Callithrix jacchus: one gene and its partners. The protein of the gene in region 2 purifies or fractionates together with the protein of the main gene of each other region. This does not show direct contact. Links are inferred from orthologs where the notes say so. Each region holds a gene or a part of one and is shown on either strand. Other genes may lie near its edges.

Region 1 (3,500 bases), on a different chromosome or scaffold from region 2:
AAGCGCTCCCTCCCACGCTGGCTTAGAGATCTCACACACACAAAACTCTCCTTGTCTATATGGAGCTGTCTCTCAGTATGTGTGCAGTTCTTCCCAAAAGCCCGTCATTAAATAAGCTACAAACAGGTGCAAGCGATGTACCTGCATGGGTTCCTGAGACTTGCCTTGCAGAAGTGGCTCTAAGTCACCGACTCTTGAGAACGCCAGAGAAAAACAGCGCAAACAGGTGGGCAAAAACAAAAACAAAAAATCCTGGTGCCTGCACCAAGTTCTTCTCCCAAAGCATGTTTTACTCACACAGGGCAAATTTCTGTCCCGGCCTCAGCTGCCTTTAGGAGGATAAGGGTTTGCAGGGGCACAGGGAATGCTGTCAGTGTCTGAGGAGGAAACCCTGCCTCACTTATTTGAAATCTTGCCTCTGGTTTTCTAAGCAAATTCTTCTTGGGATACAAAGCACATATTAGAGCTTCCTTCTTGCCTTAATGCAATGAAATTTGCAGCCATTCTGCAGAAGAACCAAAGCTCTTGGGTGAAAAGAAGCCTTAAATTATGTCACGATATGTATGGGGGGAGGGGCATTTGGGTATAGGTATTTTCCTGAAGGAAGAGAAAGGGTTGAATGTATTGGCAGCTGAGCTGTCCCTTCAAGGGGATATTGTGAAACAAGCTCAACAAAAACCTCTCCCTCTGCAGCATGAAATGTTCCCAGCGAGGACAGGATTCCTTTGTTGCAATGATGTAACCTTATGTCATATGCTACGCACATCTGGAGCGTTTTCCTGAGTAACCTGAGGAAAATGTGGCAACAGAGAAAAGCACTTGGAAAATACACGTAGCAGGCAGGTAGTGTTCACCTTCCTGGTTAAAGGAAAGACACCCCACACATACAGGAACTCTCCCTCCCGCCCCTCCTCTTTCCCTACCCCACTTCCACCCCAGGGGCCACCAGAAGCAGCAGCAGCAACCCTGGCTCCTCATCCCCTGCCGTGAAGCCTGCAAGAGGCTCTGGCTAGAAGTGGTGCTGGTGAAGGGCTGTGGACGAGGTTCTCTTCTCCAGCCTCTTCACGTGGCAGGAGTGACAGAACAGGTGATCCTCCAGCGGATAACAGCGATGGCCATCTTCATCATTGAGCTCCAGACCACAGTCCTGGGGAGAGGCAGACATGTCCAGGGGAAGCAAAACGAAACAGACTGCAAGACTGACACGAAGGCCACAGTCCCCAAAATCAGCAGAGGGTTCTGTGTGTTTCTGAACAGGCAGGAAACACTGGTGCAGAAACGCAGCTCCTGCCCAGTAGAGGCCTGTCCAACACAGGAGACACAGCCACACAGCACTTGCTGTGACCCACTTAAGATGTGCTGTAGTGTAAACGCACACCAGATTCCTAAAACTTAGGACAAAAAGAGGATGTGAAAATATCTCATGGGGAAAAAGAATGAGATTGTGTCCCTTCCAGGGACATGGGTGAAGCTGGACACCATCATCCTCAGCAAACCAACACAGGAACAGAAAACTAAACACTATGTTCTCACTCATAAGTGAGAACACACTGACACAGAGAGGGGAATAACACACACCAGGGCCTGTAGGGGGGAGGAATGAGGGGAGGGAACCTAGAGGATGGGACAATAGATATAGCAAACCACCATGGCACACATATACTTACGTAACAAACCAGCAGGCTCTGTACATGTATCTCATTTTTTTTAGAAGAATAAATTGTGGAATTACAAAAAAAAAAATCTCATGGGTAATTTTTTATGCTGATTACATGTTCAAAAGATAACATTTATAATTTTTTTTTGTTTTTTTGAGACAGAGTCCCCCTCTGTCACCAAGGCAAGAGTGCAGTAGTGTGCTCTCAGCTCACTGCAATCTCTGCCTCCCGGTTCAAGCAATTCTCCTGCCTTAGTCTCCTGAGTAGCTGGGATTACATAAGTGCCACCATGCCTAGCTAATTTTTGTATTTTTACTAGAGATGGGGTTTCACCATGTTGGCCAGGCTGGTCTTGAACTCCTGACCTCAAGCGATCCGCCAGCCTTGGCCTCCCAAAGTGCTGGGATTACAGGCATTAGCCATCGTGCCTGGCCCCTTATATTTGTTTTGGACAGCACTGGTCTAGAAAATGTGGAGAGACCTGTTGAGCAAATGTCCTCACCTTTTTCTCCTGCAGTGGTGACCTGGGGCACCTGAGGTCCCAGCAGCAATGATTCCCACCCATTTCTTCAGTGTTAGCAGCAGGACCATTCTATATGAGGGACACCCCGTTCTCTCTACCCACAAAGTCACCAAATGAATCTAATATCCTTCTGTGGGTAAATTCACTTAGTTGTGGCTGAAATTCCACGGTCACCCTTCACAAGGGCTGGTGAGGGCCGACCCCTAGCTTTCCTGATAGTCATGAGGTACTAGTGCTCCTTCATCCTGGGTTGGGACACAGGGCAGGAAGGGGCAGGTGGACCCCACCCACCTACACACCACTCAGCTGTCATGCCTGTTTCCAAGAGGGGCTTCATGATTTCCAGGGCTCTGCTGAGAGGGGCTTCTGGCAGATAGAACAGCCTGCAAGCTGGAGGGGAGGGAGTCTCTTCCCCAAATCGCACACCTGCCTGACAATGTGGCCTCCATACAGGGCCTGAAACCCATGCTTTCCACGACCCTCCTAGTTCTGCAGCTTCAGGGAGAGCAGCTCCAACAACTGCAGGACTTGATAGTTCTGAACGTGCAGAAGACCTTTCTACCTTGAGCATTTCCATCATCTCCTACCTCCTCCAAGAACCAGCCTTCACCCCACTTCCTACAGCAGCTCTAGAGGGCTGACACTTGCCAGAATCTCATTGACCACCTCCTGCCCCAGTCAGTGCAGAATGCTTTCTTTCGGACTTCTATGATGGGCCCTGGGTATGGGTGGGGAGGCACTTACCTCACAGTGGTAACACTCCACGTGGTAGTCTCTGTCCATGGACACAACACGGATGGTCTCGTCTGAGCCCTGGGACCAAAGAAAAGCAAGAACACGCAGGAGAGGCCTGTGAGGGGGCCTGTTGGACTTGATGTACTGCAGCGTGGGGAGGGAAGAGGGTTTGGGGGTAGTAGGTAGGTGGCCCTGGGAGGAGACTATAAATCAGCAGTACTTGTGGGAAAAAGAGTACATTTAAGCTGATGAGAGGGGAAGTGGGAGGGACAGAAGCCCTTCCTTCTGGAATGTCAGAGTCAACAATGAAAGAAAGACTTACATGGACATTTATTTTTTAAAATGAGTAAAGACAAGCCTCTCTGCTCATCTGCTAATCTTAGAATTAGTATCAAGTAAGGGAGTTTGACCTGATTATGGGGAAAAACCAGCATGAGAAGGGTACTGGGTTGGGGAAGCCAGGCAACAAGGAAGGGTGAGGACACCACTTATCTCAGAGGTGAGGTACAGTTTTATTGGTTTGTTTCTTTGAGACAAGGTCTTGCTCTGTCACCCAGGCTGGAATGCAGTAGCACCATCATAGC
Region 2 (3,500 bases):
GCCGGGCACGGTGGCTCATGCATGTAATCCCAGTACTTTGGGAGGCTGAGGCAGGTGTATCACAAGGTCAGGAGTTCGAGACCAGCCAGCTAACATGGTGAAACCCCGTCTGTAGTAAAGATACAAAAAATTAGCCAGGCATGGTGGTACGTACCTGTAATCCCAGCTACTCCGGAGACTGAGGCAGGAGAATTGCTTGAACCTGGGGGGCAGAGGTTGCAGTGAGCCAAGGTCACACCATTGCACTCCAGCCTGGGTGACGGGGAGACCTCAAAGCAAAACAACAACAGCAAAAAAATTAGCCGGGTGTGGTGGTGTGCACATATAGTTGCAGCTACTTGGGAGGCTGAGACAGGCGAATCACTGGAACCTGGGAGGGAGAATGCAGTGAGCTAAGATTATGCCACTACACTCCAGCCTGGGCAACAGAGTGAGATGCCATCTCAAAAACGAAACAAAACCAGTCATTACCTTTCTTTGTAGTACATGAGACCCATATTTCTCTGTTCTCCTTTCTATAAAATGAGTTAGTTTCCTCTCAGTTCCAGGACATCCCCATCCCAGTCATTTGTTATCATGGGACTTCTCTAATATGAATCTTCCTTCTTCTTTGCCTTCTACACAGGCTGGACTCTGTGAAGCTGAGCAGGAACAGATGCGGAAGATCCTCTACCAGAAAGAGTCTAATTACAACAGGCTAAAGAGGGCCAAGATGGACAAGTCTATGTTTGTGAAAATCAAAACCCTGGGCATCGGAGCCTTTGGGGAAGTGTGCCTTGCTTGTAAGGTGGACACTCATGCGCTGTACGCCATGAAGACCCTGAGGAAGAAGGATGTCCTGAACCGTAATCAGGTGGCCCACGTCAAGGCCGAGAGGGACATCCTGGCTGAGGCAGACAACGAGTGGGTAGTGAAACTCTACTACTCCTTCCAAGACAAAGACAGCCTGTACTTTGTGATGGACTACATCCCTGGCGGGGATATGATGAGCCTGCTGATCCGGATGGAGGTCTTCCCTGAGCACCTGGCCAGGTTCTATATCGCAGAGCTGACTTTGGCCATTGAGAGTGTCCACAAGATGGGCTTCATCCACCGAGACATCAAGCCTGACAACATTTTGATAGATCTGGATGGTCACATTAAACTCACAGATTTCGGCCTCTGCACTGGGTTCAGGTGGACTCACAATTCCAAATATTACCAGAAAGGTATTGTCTTAAGCGTGCCACATGTACTTCCTATGTGTAGATGTCACTAACCCATCGCAGGCAACTAAATTTCCCATGCTGATAGTTCCTAGTCATTTTGAAATTATCTGTCACTCCACTATTATAATTTGGTGTGACGTCCTTCCCTTCCCAAAGGAATAGTATGATATATACATTTGTTTAAGTTAGTAGATTTCAGGTTTCCTTTTTTTTTTTTTTTTTTTTTTTTTTTTGAGATGGAGTTTTGCTCTTGTTGCCCAGGCTGGAGTGCAGTGGCGCTATCTCGGCTCACTGCAACCTCTGCCTCCTGGGTTCAAGTGATTCTCCTGCCTCAGCCTCCTGAGTAGCTGGAATTACAGGCATGCACCACCACACCCAGCTAATTTTGTATTTTTATATTTATTTATTTTTGAGGCAGAGTTTCGCTGTTGTTACCCAGACTGGAGTGCAATGGCACGATCTTGGCTCACCGCAACCTCCACCTCCTGGGTTCAAGCAATTCTCCTGCCTCAGCCTCCCTAGTAGCTGGGACTACAGGCACACGCCACCATGCCCAGCTAATTTTTGTATTTTTAGTAGAGACGGGGTTTCACCTTGTTGACCAGGATGGTCTCGATCTCTTGACCTCGTGATCCACCTGCCTCAGCCTCCCAAAGTGCTGGGATTATAGGCGTGAGCCACCACGCCCGGCCTGATTTTGTATTTTTATTAGAGATGGTGTTTCTCCCATGTTGGTTAGGCTGGTCTCGAACTCTTGACCTCAGGTGATCTGCCCACCTCGGTCACTGTGTCCGCCTACTGTATTTTTAAGACGATAGGCTACAAGGTGTCACAGAGCCTTTGTGGGGAACCATCATCTGCCTCATTAAAGGAAGCCTTAAAAAATAAAAGATTCAGCTAGGCGTGGTGGCTCACACCTATAATCCCAGAACTTTGAGAGGCCAAGGCAGGCATATCACCTGAGGTCGGGAGTTCAAGACCAGCCTGACCAACACAGAGAAACCCTGTCTCTACTAAAAATACAAAAGTACCCGGGTGTCAAGGCACATGCCTTAGGAGGCTGAGGCAGGAAAACTGCTTGAATCCGGAAGGCGGAGGTTGCGGTGAGCCGAGATCGTGCCATTGCCCTCCAGCCTGGGCAACAAGAGTGAAATGCTGTCTCGAATAAATAAATAAATACCCTGTAACCCAGCACTTTGGGAGGCCGAGGCGGATAGATCACGAGTTAAGAGATCGAGACCATCCTGGTCAACATGGTGAAACCCTGTCTCTACTAAAAAAAAAAAATTAAAAAATTTAAAAAATAAATAAATACATACATACATACATAAAAAGATAAGATCCACAGCCTCCCAAGGAGTCCTCTTTTATAGCTAACCTGAATCTGTGTAGTGTTTATCATTTAACTTCATTTCCTGTAATTCTGCCATTTGGAAAAGCCAAAAACAGCTGGTTATTATCTTCTTTGTGGCTCGATTCTTGAAATAGTTATTTGAATATCATCACTTAGCCTTTTTTTTCCTAACTGAAAACCAACTCTAAATCATTTAATTCACTCCTATTTTTTGGCATTGAAGTCACCTTTGTTCTTGTTGTTTAAATCTTCCTAAGGTTTCCATGCTCATCGTAAAATGTGTGTCAGGCAGATGTTACCTTTTGATTGTGGCCTGAGTGCTAGGGGTGCTGTCCCGGCAGTTCTTCCAGCGTTTCCTGCCTGCAGTACCTCCCTGCTAGCTCAGCACGATGTGTGGTTTCCTGTGGTTCCTCGCCGTAGTTTCTACCTCAGTGCTAGCGCTGACCTTACCACGTATGTCTCTGAACTAGGAACAGCAGGCTTCCTCTACAGAGCAGCTTGGGGGATTCTCTGTCCTGATGTGTCAGGAGCTAATTGGAACGACTTTTCTGTTTTAAGCTGTTGATTTGTTGAGGTATTGAAGAGTGAAAATTCACTTTATGTTTTGTTCTCTTCTTTTACCACCCCTGATTCTTGGGTGAAGGGAACCATGTCAGACAGGACAGCATGGAGCCCAGTGACCTCTGGGACGACGTGTCTAACTGTCGGTGTGGGGACAGGCTGAAGACCCTGGAGCAGAGGGCGCGGAAGCAGCACCAGAGATGCTTGGCACATTCCCTGGTGGGAACCCCAAACTACATCGCACCTGAGGTGCTCCTCCGCAAAGGTATGTGTGCCACACCAGCCACCCCATGGGAGGTCTGCTTCCCTTCAGACCTGTGAGCCGAGTCTCCCAGCTCTAGCTATCCAAGCGCCTAATGCTTCCAGTCATACTTTTG
Region 3 (3,500 bases), on a different chromosome or scaffold from region 2:
GACATTTCTGTTACATATGCTTAAGTAGGAGAGAAACATGTCAAAATGCCAAGTATAGTAGCTCCCACTAACTGCTCAGTATGTTTTCTGTCTCCTTTTTTTGTTTGTTTTTTTCCTTTTTTTTAAAATCAGGACTCTTGAGCCAGTGTCTCCCTTTTTTAAAAATCTCATTTAAAATTATTAGATAGTCCTTTTGAAAGAAAATGGTATGATAAATATCAAAGAACCACTGGGTAGGAAATATTATAAATGATCATTAAAAATAATACTAGAATCGGCCAGGCACAGTGGCTCAAGCCTGTAATCCCAGCACTTTGGGAGGCCGAGGCAGGCAGATCACGAGGTCAACAGATTGAGACCATCCTGGCCAACATGGTAAAACCCTGTCTGTACTAAAAATACAAAAAAATTAGCTGGGCATGGTGGCGTGCGCCTGTAGGCTGAGGCAGGAGAATTGCTTGAACCTGGGAGGTGGAGGGTGCAGTGAGCCGAGATTGCGCCACTGCATTCCAGCCTGGTGCCTGGTGACAGAGCGAGACTCTCTCTCTCTCAAAAAAAAAAGTAATAATAAATAATACTAGAGTTTGCAATCAAAGCTTCCTATTATATCTGCTCTGCAATATGATTTGAGAGGTATAACTTCAGGTACAACTTGCCTTTCCCTAATTCAAGTTCTTTAGTCTTAGTGGATATTAACATTCAAAACCACTACTTTGAATCATGTTGGTCCAAGTTCTCTGCCTTTCTGAACTTTTATTCACTAAACACTTTTGCAAGAGGTAAAGAGCTTCTTTAGGTTTTGGTGTTTTTCATCTTTAAATGAGAATATGAATTAGAGTGCTGTCTTCATCCTATACTGAAATGGGACTGTGTAGGCAACTACTAAAGGTACTATTGCTATGCAGCGATCTACTTACCACTGAAAGACTACTAATGGTCTTCTACGATACATTTGGGAATCCTTCACTACACTGTGAAGCCTTCTACAGTCTGCTTAGTCTCTCATTTTAAAAACAGTTTATTCTTTCCTTCTTGAGTTTTCCTGTTGTACTCAGCCTCAGGAGTACTTAGAGGCCACAAATGATGCTTCCTCTTCATTTCTTCTTCTGTCTTGTTCCTTGTTTGCTGTTGCAAATAGCATTCCTCAGAAAGATCCATCAACATGAATGGACCACCCATTTTTGTACATTATCATTTACAGGCACAGTGTGGTCTAAAGTATTCTTAAGTTCCTGACAAATAACTTTTGATGAACTTATAAAGAGCACACAATATGTTCTTCAGAAATTACAGAAACACTGTAGTGTGAAATCTGTGTTGATGGTTATCTAGTGTTAATATTAGAATAATTGATAATTTAAAGAAATAGATATTCTTTAACTTAAATTGAAATGAAGTAATATTAGCAGTTTTCTCCTTTCCCTAAAAAAAAAATTATATGTAAATAGCAGTTAACTCAGTTTTTTAGAAAAACTGATGTATTTATTTTTAGAAATGGGGTCTTGCTATGTTGCCCAGGCTGGCCTCAAACTCTTAGGCACAGCAATCCTCCCACGTCATCCTCCCAAGTAGCTAGGACTACAGGTGCCACCACTGTGCCCAGCTACTCAGTTATTTTTAATTAAAGCTTATGGTTTGTTTAGTTATAAATAAAGTTGACATTTTAAAAAACAGACTAGTTTCTTGCTAGAAATAGATGTTTATGTATGTGTTGTGAACATATATATGCTTGTGTTTTAAAACAGATATGACCACATTCTGAAGTGGGAACTCTTCCAGCTGGCTGACCTGGATACATACCAGGGAATGCTAAAGTTGCTCTTCATGAAAGAACTGGAGCAGATTGTTAAGATGTATGAAGCATACAGACAAGCTCTTCTTACAGAGCTAGAAAACCGAAAGCAGAGACAGCAGTGGTATGCCCAACAACATGGAAAAAATTTTTGAGCTGATTTTTTAAAAATAAAATTTAAGTTTTATAAGAGCTTTAAAATATTTTCACAGATAGAAAATAGCAAACAAGTACTTTGGTTAATAAACACAGCTTCCTTTGTGGAAATTATAAAATTCTAACTTTACATGTATTTTGTTATTAGAAATTTTCTTTTATTGAACAAGAAAAATTAGTCTATCATTTTAAGAGCCAATATGGCAAACACTTTCAAGTGCTATATATTAGGAAACTGCTTTGGTATTGGATGGAAAAAATGCAGCAGGAAATGTCATTATGAACAAATGTTAAATAGGAAATTATCACTTGTTAACTTCTTATAGCAGTAGTACCTTTCTTTAAAAAAAAAAAAAAAAAGAATCTGCAGTATTTAAAAAAAAATGTTTACCGCTCTAGTGTGAAATATTTTCTGGAAAGGGATGGTTTAAATATTACCATGAGGTAGTTTAAATATAAAATAGGATTTGAAGCCTTATTGTGATAAATATTTATATATGATGTATGTTTGTCTTCCCTCCTCCAAAGTAAGGGACCCAGATAGGGGACATGGTGGCTCATACCTGTAATCCCAGCACTTTGGGAAGCCGAGGTGGATGGATCTCTTGAGCTCACCAGTTTGAGACCAGCCTGGGCAACATGATGAAACCCCATCTCTACAAAAAATACAAAAAAAACATTAGCTAGGTATGATGGTGCATTCCTGTAGTCTCAGCTACTTGGGAGGCTGAGGTCAGAGGATGGCTTGAGCCCGAGAGGCAGAGGCTGCAGGGTCAAGATTGTACCACTTGCACTGCAGCCTGGGTGAGAGAGCCAGTCCTTGTCTCAAAAAATAAAGAAAGAAATAAAAACAAAGTAAGGAAGCCTTTTAAAGCATGTTGAGAAAATACTTTTTTTTTTTTTTTTTTTTTTGAGACGGAGTTTCGCTCTTGTTACCCAGGCTGGAGTGCAATGGCGCGATCTCGGCTCACCGCAATCTCCGCCTCCTGGGTTCAGGCAATTCTCCTGCCTCAGCCTCCTGAGTAGCCGGGATTACAGGCACGTGCCACCATGCCCAGCTAATTTTTTGTATTTTAGTAGAGACGGGGTTTCACCATGTTGACCAGGTTGGTCTCGATCTCTTGACCTCGTGATCCACCCGCCTCGGCCTCCCAAAGTGCTGGGATTACAGGCTTGAGCCACCGCGCCCGGCCGAGAAAATACTTTTTATTATGAATGGGTGATGGGCATTTTGATCTTTCAGGAGTACATATAAGCATAAGTACCTAGCCTGTTTGAGGAAGGTGTGTGAAACTCAAAGTTGCTAAAATCAACTTTGGTATTTTCAGCCAGGGCTGTTACTGCATTTAGCATGGCTCTGATGAGACAGTGGAGAGTTCCTGACAGCATAGCGTACTGCCTTCTGACAGACTGGATTGAGCTACCAAAAATGACAATCAGGGATTCAAAAAAAAATGTTGGTCATTAAATTGATTTTATATTATTACTTTTTAATCTTCTAAGCATTTGTCACAGGACTTTAAAACCACATATTTCCTTCATAATTTTTCTC
Region 4 (4,088 bases), on a different chromosome or scaffold from region 2:
TCTAGCTGCCTTGAACTGATGCCTTTCTGCAACCATCTCAAGAATATTTGTCAAACATGTTGTGAGGTATCCCCCCAAATGCCTGAAAGACGTGATCTTTCCCGAGATTTTACAACCCAGAGTACACATGTCCACAACCATTCCCCTCCTCCACCAATTACACTGTCCATAAGGTAAGGCCACCCAGAGACCTCTTCACAAATGACCCATTTGCTCAATCATCTCAGATGCAATCACTATTTGAAACAGTATTTGGCTTCCAAGTAAAACACACACACACTTTTTGTGGGAGTTTTATTAAAAATTAACAATGTCCCTGGCTATTAAGCTTCCAGAGTTTCCTTGTCCCTGGTTCCCTCCGGTGAATTTGGGAATTGCAAACTCCATGCTGAGGGGAGGACCCAGCCAGGGGAAGAAGAAATCAGCCCTGACTCTCTGGGTGGACAGGGGCCTGACTGCCCCCACTTCAGCCCAACTGACTTGTAGAGAGGCCCTGTGTAGTGGGAACTGGGACAGGGTGTGTCAGTGAAGGCTTTCTGAAGAAGGGGTTTGCACCTAGCAGACGAAGTGTCCTGGGGGCAGAGAAGAAGATTCCATGCAGGAGCCACAGAAGTGGATACAAGGGAAGGCCGCTGGCTGGCAGGGGTGTAGGGGGAGGTAAAGAAGAGACTAAAACAAGGAGCGGGCAGGTGGAAAGAGGAAGGTTCCTGGCGTCTGCCCAGTCCATCTAGGGAGCCCGGATTCTGATGGCAACGGAGGGGTTTTGAGAATGAAAACCCAAGCAGCCCCTGGTTGGTTGTCTGGTTCTTTCTGTGTGACTCTGGGCACCCTGCTTAAGCTCTCTGAGCCCTGGTGTCCTCATTTATAACACAGGGATGATAACAGAACTCCGTTGGAGGATGCTAGGCAAGGCTGGATCGCTTGACTGGGAGAAAAGCCGGCGGTGGCACACCCTGCGCTCTGCGTAAAGGGGCGCCTATTATCTTGGGGAAGAGGTGGACAGAGCGCCTGGCGGCGGGAGATTCGGTTGGGTAGATGGATCAAATTGACAGGATTTTCCAACACAGATTCACGCTTCCTGTGGAGAAGGTTCGTAAAAGAGCTGGTGAAGGTGTTTGTAAACAAAAGTGCAATTCAAAGGTTGCCGCGGGGGTGAAAGCACTGGGGGTTAGGGGAAAGAGAGGCTCGGAGGCTGGAAGTATTCACTTCTCCCGGGACAAGCTCCCAGCCCTGAGGATATAGACGTCTTTGCGGTCCTTCTTCCCTTACCCCCTCCCCCGGTTTACACACACACGCACAGCCGGAGCCTCTCCCGCAGCAACCCCGGGACAAGCGTGGCACAGCCCTTGCTGTATCGTTCCGTCGATGGGTTTCGGGATGAAGGGTGGAGAGCGGGTCGGCGACTAGGGGTGTAAGCAATAATGGGCCGAGTTGTATTAAATTGTCTCCAGCAGCTCCGATCGCAAAGCGGGGGGCAGGGGCGGACACACTGCGGCCTGGAGGGCGCTGAGTGCGGAGGAACGGAGCTCAGGGGCCGGCCCGGCGCTCAGCCAGCAGCGCCGCCTCCCGGGAGGAAGGCGGGGGACGGGAGGAGGGAGCTGGAGGAGGCGGAGGGCGGAGGAGGGCGGCGCGCTGAGAGGTTATTTGTGGTTCGCTTTGATCCCGAGGGGGAACCTGAAACTCTCACATTCCTGGCATAACAGCCGCCTCCAGCGCGGACCGACCCTGGGGCTGCGCGCTGGGGCGCGAACTGCCAGAGCGTCGGCGCCACTGCCGAGAATACATCTCCGCCGCCGAGCTGAGCAGGGCCGAGCCGGGGGTTGCAGTGTCTGACTGTGCTGGGCACCCGCGGGCCGCAGCGGTAAGGAAGGCCGCTTGGCGCTGGGGAGAGCGCGCGAGGCCACAGAGACGTGCCCCGGCCAAAGCCGGAGTCTCGGCGCAGCCCGGCCTTTTCCGGGAGTCGGAGCCCGGAGGATCGAGCGTACTCCGGGCGTAGTGCGCCCGTTCGAGGCAGCCGCAGTGCCAGGCAAGGGCCGCTCCGCCTGGGAGCCCAGCGCCCCTGGCTTTGCGGGGCTCTAGCAGCGCGCCGGTCCCCCGGGGCTGGGGGAGAGCGGAGAGGGCAGACTCTATAGAGGCGACGGTGTTTCGGGTTGCAGGTAGGCCGGGGTGGGGGTGACGGGGGACAGGCCTGGAGGCGCCGCTTGGGGTTCAATTTGCAGGGTCTCGCGGGTTGATTTGGTTAGGTGGGGGTTACAGGTGCCTTTGCCTCCAACTAGTCCAAGAATTCCTCTTTGTCTTCCTTGGAAAATCCTCTCTGGAGACACGAATTGGCTCTCACCTAGAAAGAATGCAGCCTGCTGTCCAGCCCGGTGACGTCAGCGCTGGAGTATTTGGAAAACAAAGAGGGCTCGAGAGGGAGGGAGGCGGACCCGCGATGCTTAAAGACTTCTCCGGGCCACGGGCTACCCTCACCGGCTAGCCCCAGGCGTACCCGCGACCACCGGCGATCCAGGTCCGCCCGGGGTCGTGGTGGAGCTGGAGTCCTGGCTGGGGTGCGAGAGTCTCCCGGCTTGGAGACTGTCACTTTGGTTCCTTAGGCGAGCTGGAGCCCAGGCCAAGGCAGCCGACGCGCGCTGGCTTAGACAGGCAGCCTTCAGAGAGCTCAGCGCGCTAGCGCAGCAGAGGGGCGCGGCCGGGGGCGCGGAAGCAGGTTTTAGTTAAGGCTCGGTCGTTTGGTATTTGAAAGGTCGTGAATCTGAGGGGCTTGGCCGGGACAAATTCGCGAGGCCTTGGAGATGTTCCTTGCTCCCAGTCCCCGCACACTGTGGAGCGCCCGGAATCTGTCGGGAAGGCTCCGCATTCCTTCCGGCCGCTCCCTTGCAGCCTCTGTGGGAGTCGGCCAGAGAGTAATTATCTTAAGGAAATGCCCCGAGATAAAACTCCAGAGCGAATTAAATCCCGTTTGCTTGCTTTGCCTCGGGTAGCGCCGGAGTCTTGCAATATCTACCCCTCGTTGTGTGTGGGGGCGCATGAATGGGTGCCAGGAAGGATTGGTACAGAGGTGCCCTCCAGACTCATACCCCAGTCCCCAGCTCTGGGCAGCTGGAGCCCGGGGTGGGGAGAGGGAAAGGATTGGGAATGGCTGTTCTGCCAACATACCATAACCCAAACTGAAGCAGGACACGGGCTAGTTTTGTGGCAGAGGAGGGGCCACATTCCTCCCACTCCCCACCAACCCCTGCCTGTTCACACAGGATGTTTGGCAGTATGGAGTCCGTTTAGTTTTCCCTGGATCCCAGTTTGGAGATTTGTGTTGGAGAAAGCCCAAGTCCAGATGATCTTCCTTGACACTGATGTCAAGAAAGATGCTGAAAGCCCATCCTCTGTTTGCTTAGAGGACCAGTGAGGGCTTTTCCAAGTAGCGTGTGTGCGTGCATGTGTGTGTGTTGGGGAGGATAATCATAAAAGACGTCGTGCCATCCTTTCTTTTTCCTGGAGCTCTCTTGCAGTTACCGTCAGCTCTAAGACTGACCCACTGACCTTAATGGGTGGCAACTTTCTGCCTCATCTCACAAAACCATTGTCGAGCCTTTTTATTCATCCCTTATTCAGAAATTCAGGTGCAATTCCTCCTCCTTCCTGTTCACCTTGCAGAATGACTGCCAAGGTCATCCCATGACAGGGAGTCCTGGATTCATTCTGTCAGCAGCCCTTGATGAAGCAGAGCCCAGGCCCACCCCCCAGGAGCTCTTTGGTTCTGGGAGAGTGAGAAAAGTGGGCAGGGGTTCAGTGGGCTAGAGGGTAGTAGGTTGACTGTGCCAGGGCTGGGCTCTGGCATGCTTCATTCTGGGGGGGGTCCTGGAGGACTTTCACCTAGGGCTTCTACTGGACTACATGCCTTCTGTATCACCTGCCAATAAACTGGGTCCCCACCCAGCCCTAGACTGAATAGCTAAGTGGTTAGATCTGAACTAGGCCTGCCTTGGAATTGCTCATCAGGCTGTTTGATGGGTAGGTGGCTATAGAGGCAGTGGTTCCTGGTGGATTATCTTCTGGTTTTCTTATGTCTTTCTCCAGGAATAGTAAGC
Region 5 (3,500 bases), on a different chromosome or scaffold from region 2:
TGGCAAGCTCTTGACTCACTGCAACCTCTGCCTCCTGGGTTCAAGTGATTCTCCTGCCTCAGCCTCTAGAGTAGCTGGGATTACAGGCTTGTGCCACCACACCCAGCAAATTTTTTAAAAAATATTTTTAGTAGAGACAGGGTTTCACCCTGTTGGCCAGGATGGTCTCTATCTCCTGACCTCATCATCTGCCCACCTCAGCTGGGATTTTCTTTAATCCTTTACTGATAAGCTTTAGGATTCCTTGGAGGTTTTTCACTATTAAAAACAATTCTGGAAAACAAATCCTTATCCATATCTAGAGAAGATTTTTAGAAGTAGAATGGGTGGCTTGAGGATCTTTTCAGTGTTAATAGATACTACCATATTGCCCTCCCAAAGGTTATACTTTATACTTTCACCAATAGTATATTAAAGTACTAGCTTCTCTGTACCCACTTCCAGCAGTCTCCAACATTTTTGGCACCAGGGACCGGTTTCGTGGAAGACAGTTTTTCACAGATCTGGTTGGGGGGATGGTTTCCGGATGATTCAAATGCATTACACTGAGTGTGCACTTTATTTCTATTACATTGTAATATATAATGAATAATTACACAAGTCACCATAATGTAGAATCAGTGGGAACTCTGAGCAACTAGATGGTCCCATCTGGGGGTAATGGGAGAGAGTGACAGATCATCAGGCATTAGATTCTCATAAAACACATGTAGTTTAGATCCCTTGCATGCACAGTTCACAATAGGGTTCACACTCCTGTGAGACAGGAGGTGGAGCTTAGGTGGTAATGACAGCAATGGGGAGTGGCTGTAAATATGGGTGAGGCTTTGCTGCTTGCTCACTGCTCACCCACATTTGTGGGGCCTGGTCTGTGGCTCTGGGGTTAGAAGCCCCTGCCCTATTCCACATTTAATGTAATCATTTTAACTTTTGCCACTCAGATTAGGGAAAAAATAAATCTTACTTTAACTGAACAGTTTTTTACATGCTCATTGATTGTCATACTTTTACTGAATTGCGTATTCATCTCCTTAGCCTATTTTTCCAAAGGATTCCTTATATTTTTAGTGAGTTATAGAAGCCCTCTATTACCGGTTCATCCTTTGTAATATATGTTACAAGTACCTTTTTTTGGTTACTTGTCTTTTTGCTCTGTTATGGAAGTTTTAATTGATACTGTTTGAAATCTGTCAATTTTTTTCTTTGAGGTTTCTGAGTTTTGTGTCATGTTAGGAAGACTTTATGGATGGTGTCAGATAGGAATAAAAATATTTTTTTCCTCAGTAATGAATTATGGCTGTCTCATTTATTTTCCCAGTTATAAACTTAAAGATGTTAGTGTTTCTTTTACTGTGGTTTGCTTTCAAGGCATCCCAAATATTTTAATATAGAAAACTGGATTTTTGAATTAAACCTCCCTGCACCATTTTCTTTCTATCTCTCCCATCCCTCATGAAGCCTTGCTATGTTGTCCTGGCTAGTCTTGAACTCCTGGGCTCAACCAATCATCCCAACGTGGTCTCTCAAACTGCTGGGATTACAGGTGCGAGCCTCTCACTGCACTTGGCACCACCATTTTCTATAGGTGAAAATTGAGGCCAGGCACAGTAGCTCATGCCTGTAATTCCAGCATTTTGGGAGGCTGAGGCAGGTGGAGCACTTGAAGTCAGGAGTTCAAGACCAGCCTGGTCAACATGGCACTATCCCATGTCCACTTAAAAAAATAATAATAATAATTAGCTGGGCGTGGTGGTGGCTCCTATAATTCCAGCTACTTGGGAGGCTGAGGCAGGAGAATTGCTTGAATCCTGGAGGTGAAGGTTGCAGTGAGCCAGGATCACATCACTACCTTCCAGCCTGGGTGACAGAGTAAGACTTCATCTCAAACAAAAAAAACGGAAATTGAGGCCAAAAGAAGGTTTAGCTTCTCAAGAAGACATAGTTGGTGTCAGATCAACAACTAAATCTCAGATTTTCCTTTGGTTAAACTACCCTCTCTGTACCAGACTTCTTCAGAGGGTATAGTGAAATTGCCTTATTTGTGAAATTGTGCTGGTAATCTTGCTTTTATGTGCAGGGGAAAAAAAAGCATTCTTTTATTGTGATCATCATCTTCCTATCTTGGCATTTTTCAGAGCGTATGCTTTTTTGTTTCTTTTTTTTTTTTTGAGACAGAGTCTCGCTGTGTTTCACAGGCTGGAGTGCGGTGGCGCGATCTCGGCTCACTGCAGCCTCTGCCTCCTGGGTTCAAGTGATTCACCTGTCTCAGTCCCCCGAGTAGCTGAGACTACAGGCATGCGCCACCATACTCAGCTAATTTTTGTATTTTTAGTAGAGACAGCTTTCGTCATGTTGTTCAGGCTTGTCTTGAACTCCTTACCTCAGGTGATCACAAAGTGCTGAGATTATAGGCATGAGCCACTGTGCCTGGCCCAGATAGTATTTTTTATTTTATTTTAACAGACCACTTTATATGTCTAAAATTATGTTGTTCTACCTGTTGTATTTCCAGTCTTAAAAAGTCACATGCTTTCACTTTTAACCTTACAGCAGCAGCCGCTCTTCTAAAACATTCAAACCAAAGAAGAATATCCCTGAAGGATCTCATCAGTATGAACTCCTAAAACATGCAGAAGCAACTCTAGGAAGTGGGAATCTGAGACAAGCTGTTATGTTGCCTGAGGGAGAGGATCTCAATGAATGGATTGCTGTAAACAGTAAGTTTTAAAATGCAACTTTGCTGTTTTACAGAAAGGTTTTGCTAAAATCTCTTGGTTAATGAATTTTCTTTGACAGAGATAACTGGTTTAATATAACAGATTATCTGTAAAGAAACATTAAGTACAAATATATCCAAAACTATGTTGTTCTTTTCAGAGTACTTGGTGGTAGCTTGTAAGGTTGACTAGAGGGACCTGAGAAGAAATGATGAGTGCTTTTGGGCAGTTTCTGAGGAGAGTAGTATGAAAAGCTGAGTATGGTCAAATAAAGATTGATAAATGAAAAGATTATGCATGTCATGGTCTGTGACTTTGTAGTGAATCCGTCTATACAGTTTTTCTTCCACTCCCAGCAGTACTCATCAGCCTGTATATCCAGAAAAGTCAGTTGCAGTTCATATGGCCAGTCAGTTGATAGTTGTGACTTAGAGTGTCAGAGGGAATTGAGAGATTGGGAGAAAATGGAGGGATCTGAGCTGAAAGTCACTTTGAGTTCAAGAGAACGAAGGCATGACATGGGACAATATGCTAAGGCTAGAAATTTGCATGTGAGAGTCTCTCATTTTTGAGATGAGATCATTTCTGGGTGATAAAGTTTAAATTAGGAATTTCAGCTGTTCCGGGAACGTTTAAAACTTTTTAATGGAAAATTTCAAACATACAGAAGTAGAGAGACTTAAGTACAGTGAATTCCAAGTATTCATTCCATTATCCAGCTCCAGCAAATATCAATTTGTGACCAGTTATGCTACATCTGTATGCCACCTTGATTATTTTAAG
Region 6 (3,500 bases), on a different chromosome or scaffold from region 2:
GAGATGGGGGCTCCTTCTCCCTGGGGGTTAGGTTGCTTCCTTTGACAGAACCCCAACATACCCCTTGTGTCCCCCAGCCCCAGCTTGACTGTACCCTCCTTTTCCTGCCCCGAGTAGGGGCCCTCTTCCTTGGCTTCAGCCTTGCGCAGCTGCCAGAGGGTGGGAGCAGGACAGGCCTGGGCCCATCAGTTGCTGCAGCTGCTGCACAGGCTCCCAAGCCCCTGGGCAAAGACTGGGATGGGCCCCAACAGGCAAGGAGTGTGGCAGCCTGCCGAGGGGGAGAGGTGGGGCGGGCCCGTTGGGATCTGCTCCCCAAAGACAGGCCCTAGCCCTCACTCATGGGCCTGGAATTGGGGAGTGGAGGGAGGGAAGAACACACCCAAGAAAGGCGAGTGCCAGAGCCAGGTGTATGTATCTTAGCGGGGGATTTTGGGGAAGAGCAAGCAGTTCAGTTCTGTGCTCCTCGAATGATAGAAGGTGGCTGGGAGGCATCAGGGGCTTTGCCACTCTCCCCCTTTTCCTGTGCAATGCTGGTTCCTGGAACACACCCTGCATTCTCAGCAGCCACCTCCCCACAGGAGTCATGCTCACATGGTTCTCTGCACAGAGCCCTCTGCTGAGCCAGGTCCTTTTCTCCATCCTTGGAAGTCTGCAGCAGAGAGAAATCATTCTGTAACCGAACAGCAGCTTGTCTGACTGATGGGAAAAACTGAAGTCCCAGAGAGGCCTTCTGGGCCTAGCCTGCTTTCTCTAGAAAGTTTTTTCAAGTCTGCTGTGGGCCAGCATTTCTGACCATTTGTCCCACACACTGCAGCAGAGATCATACCTTGCCTTTGTGGTCTTTTCTCCCCAACAGAAACTAAGCATTTAAATGCCAGGGACCATATCTTCAACTTTCTCCAGGTTTCCTCAGGTAGTGGTGTTGTATCTGTTGAGTAATTAAACAAAAGTGGATCTGCTCAGCCAAGATCTTGCTGTATTTCATTACCTGTTATCTTCTCTTCTCAGAAGGGAGCCCATCAAAGGGAGATTGTGACCCTTGGCACATCAGGAAAGAGTAGTGAGGAAAGCTTGGGAATTCCTGGTTTTGACCTGGGGGAGTACAGTGTGATGCTCTTTTCTCTTCTCAGGCACCTGTATCAAGTGCAACAAAGGCATCTATGGGCAGAGCAATGCCTGCCAGGCCCTGGACAGCCTTTACCACACCCAGTGCTTTGTCTGCTGCTCTTGTGGTAAGTGTAGCCCCAACACTCAAGCACCCCCCTCCCTTGCCCATGTACACACTTACAAGTGCTATGGGGAACAGGGGGAGAGCTTGTGCCTCTTCATTTGCTCACCGAGCAGCTGTTGGATCCCCACCAAGTATCTAGAGGTCCGAAACTGCTCTGCCTCTTGCTTCCCTGTTTATGCTCTACCTGGCTCTCTCTGCCCCATGGTGGGTCTCCTTTCTGGAGTCCCTCCTTCCTTCCTCACCTCTGTTTCTCCCTCATGCTTCCCTGCTTGCCCATCCTGGACTTGCCTGGCCCTCCAGCTTCTTGGTGGGGCTTGGTCTTGGGCAGCCAAGTTGCCTGGGGCGACCGTGAAAGACTGGAATGTAGAGAGGGCGGGGGCAGGCTGGGGGAGTGGGGAGCTGTCGGGGGCGGAGAGGGGGGTTTTCTCTTGGCTGGTCAGAGTTCAGCCACCTCGCTAGAGTGCAGGCCACCGGGCCATGCCAAGCTGATGACATCACGCTCCAGGAATGCCTGCCACTGTTAGCTCTGGAGGCCCATTTGGGAAGGGGAGATGCTCCCAGCAGCCTTAACTGCCCCCCCTCACCTCCCTCATTACCCCCTCCCCACCGCTTACCCATTCTGATTCCTTTGCTAAACCTTTAATCTCCTATCTGCCTGTCTGACTCCAGCACTCCGCTTTTCTCACTCCCCCAGTTTCTGCCTGGTTTTTAGGCTCATCTCTGTCTACCCTTCTGTTTATAGAACCTCTTCTAACTATATCTCTTTCCCTCTCTTTCCACCCCTGTGTCTCATGAGCATCTAAGTCAGCTTTCCTAACCCACTGGACACAGCTGAAGGTGGGGATTTTGATGGGAAGAAGGCAAAAAGGTGGGAAAATTGCTCATGCTCCACCTGTTCTCTCACTCCTCCCCCATCCCTGACAATTTAGACACCTGGGAGCAGTTCCTGGGTGTTGGTCACATGGGGAATGGTCCTGCCTTGTCTGCTAGAAGAAGATCTTGTGTTGCCTCTTACCCCAGAGACTTTGGGTCCCTCCAGGCTTAGGGAAGCAACCTCATACAAACAGGAAAGGGGACCTGCTTTGCTTCCAAACCAAGCACTTTGTCCTCCTGCAGTAACTCCAGTCCTCACCTCCGTGGAGTCTGTCCGTGGAAGGAAATAGGGCTCTGAGATCAGGTTAGATATGCTTAGGCAAAGAGTCTTCTAGGTTGAAGGATCCCAGAGGGCAAGGCCTGTAACAATGTGATTCTCTCTATGCAAATCATATAGCACCTTATTAAGAGCTCCTTTATCATGTATTTCAGCATGTGGTTGGCTTCACTCTCCCAGGTGGCTTCCTATGCACTGGAGAGGAAGGCAGTTTGTTTAGGGGAGGGTTGTTAGGGGAGGGCCCTAGGAAACTGTTGAGGAGGCAGGAGCGGGAGGAGAGGGGAAGTTGGCTGGAATGAAGCCAAAGCAAATTGGAATTGCATCAGATGGAATTTTTGTGTGGGGAAGGACAGACATCAGTTAGGAGGACAGGCACAAAGTCCAGGTTGAAAAATATTATGCAGCATTGAGGAGCAGTGACTCCAGAGTGGGAGAGGTCTTGCACCTGGGCTGTGGGATAGGTTCCAGCCCCTTCTCTGCTGTTTCTAGGACGAACTTTGCGTTGCAAGGCTTTCTACAGTGTCAATGGCTCTGTGTACTGTGAGGAAGATTATCTGGTGAGTAAGGGTCACCTGGACCTGGAATTGGTTTCCATCCTGACTCCCTTCTTGGTGGCCTATTGGAGTTCCACCCATCATCCTCAGTTTGATAACAGCCTCCCTTTGTCTTGTCTTTTACTTTAGTTTTCAGGGTTTCAGGAGGCAGCTGAGAAATGCTGTGTCTGTGGTCACTTGATTTTGGAGAAGGTAAGTAAAGTGCCTTCAGCTGAGACTCTCACTGTGCAGCTGAGGAGTAGAATCAGGGACTAAATGGATACTGAGAGAAGGTTAAGGGAAGAAGGCTTTCATCCCATTCCTCCCCAGAGCAACTGTTTACCATGGCTTTCCTCTGCCTTTGGGATCAAGTCTGGGCTCCAAAGTTTGTCGTCCCAGGCTTCTGTGACCTGGCGCCTCCCTAATTCTGCAGGCACAGCCAGGCCTTCCAGCCTGAGCTAGGAGTGTGGGGTCTTGCATCTTTTTTTTTTTTTTTTTTTGAGACAGCATCTCACTCTGACATGTAAGTGGCATGATCTCAATTCACTGCAACCTCCACCTCCCAGGTTCAAGCGATTCTAGTGCC

Evidence for each region.
Region 1: the proteins of LATS2 (region 2) and LIMD1 purify together in Homo sapiens (affinity purification with mass spectrometry; 3 studies listed by BioGRID and IntAct, with this or other methods). This does not show direct contact. The link is inferred for Callithrix jacchus from reciprocal best matches to the Homo sapiens genes LATS2 and LIMD1.
Region 3: the proteins of LATS2 (region 2) and SAV1 purify together in Homo sapiens (affinity purification with western blotting; 4 studies listed by BioGRID, with this or other methods). This does not show direct contact. The link is inferred for Callithrix jacchus from reciprocal best matches to the Homo sapiens genes LATS2 and SAV1.
Region 4: the proteins of LATS2 (region 2) and AMOTL2 purify together in Homo sapiens (affinity purification with western blotting; 3 studies listed by BioGRID). This does not show direct contact. The link is inferred for Callithrix jacchus from reciprocal best matches to the Homo sapiens genes LATS2 and AMOTL2.
Region 5: the proteins of LATS2 (region 2) and MOB1A purify together in Homo sapiens (affinity purification with western blotting; 9 studies listed by BioGRID and IntAct, with this or other methods). This does not show direct contact. The link is inferred for Callithrix jacchus from reciprocal best matches to the Homo sapiens genes LATS2 and MOB1A.
Region 6: the proteins of LATS2 (region 2) and AJUBA purify together in Homo sapiens (affinity purification with western blotting; 3 studies listed by BioGRID and IntAct, with this or other methods). This does not show direct contact. The link is inferred for Callithrix jacchus from reciprocal best matches to the Homo sapiens genes LATS2 and AJUBA.

The regions. Positions count from the first base shown.
Region 1 is NC_133516.1:28,414,635-28,418,134, reverse strand, and holds part of LIMD1 (LIM domain-containing protein 1), read right to left. Parts: intron 2,995-3,500; coding exon 2,926-2,994; intron 1,148-2,925; coding exon 1,010-1,147; 3' UTR 1-1,009. UniProt on the Homo sapiens protein: Adapter or scaffold protein which participates in the assembly of numerous protein complexes and is involved in several cellular processes such as cell fate determination, cytoskeletal organization, repression of gene transcription, cell-cell adhesion, cell differentiation, proliferation and migration.
Region 2 is NC_133506.1:140,650,144-140,653,643, reverse strand, and holds part of LATS2 (serine/threonine-protein kinase LATS2), read left to right. Parts: intron 1-625; coding exon 626-1,208; intron 1,209-3,205; coding exon 3,206-3,388; intron 3,389-3,500. UniProt on the Homo sapiens protein: Negative regulator of YAP1 in the Hippo signaling pathway that plays a pivotal role in organ size control and tumor suppression by restricting proliferation and promoting apoptosis.
Region 3 is NC_133509.1:85,194,396-85,197,895, reverse strand, and holds part of SAV1 (protein salvador homolog 1), read left to right. Parts: intron 1-1,745; coding exon 1,746-1,947; 3' UTR 1,948-3,500. UniProt on the Homo sapiens protein: Regulator of STK3/MST2 and STK4/MST1 in the Hippo signaling pathway which plays a pivotal role in organ size control and tumor suppression by restricting proliferation and promoting apoptosis.
Region 4 is NC_133518.1:49,808,557-49,812,644, forward strand, and holds the start of AMOTL2 (angiomotin-like protein 2), read left to right. Parts: upstream 1-1,288; 5' UTR 1,289-1,411; intron 1,412-1,670; exon of another isoform or gene 1,671-2,156; intron 2,157-2,470; exon of another isoform or gene 2,471-2,512; intron 2,513-4,088. UniProt on the Homo sapiens protein: Regulates the translocation of phosphorylated SRC to peripheral cell-matrix adhesion sites. Required for proper architecture of actin filaments.
Region 5 is NC_133515.1:39,019,826-39,023,325, forward strand, and holds part of MOB1A (MOB kinase activator 1A), read left to right. Parts: intron 1-2,550; coding exon 2,551-2,717; intron 2,718-3,500. UniProt on the Homo sapiens protein: Activator of LATS1/2 in the Hippo signaling pathway which plays a pivotal role in organ size control and tumor suppression by restricting proliferation and promoting apoptosis.
Region 6 is NC_133509.1:57,343,856-57,347,355, reverse strand, and holds part of AJUBA (LIM domain-containing protein ajuba), read left to right. Parts: intron 1-1,130; coding exon 1,131-1,232; intron 1,233-2,027; coding exon 2,028-2,099; intron 2,100-2,870; coding exon 2,871-2,938; intron 2,939-3,064; coding exon 3,065-3,127; intron 3,128-3,500.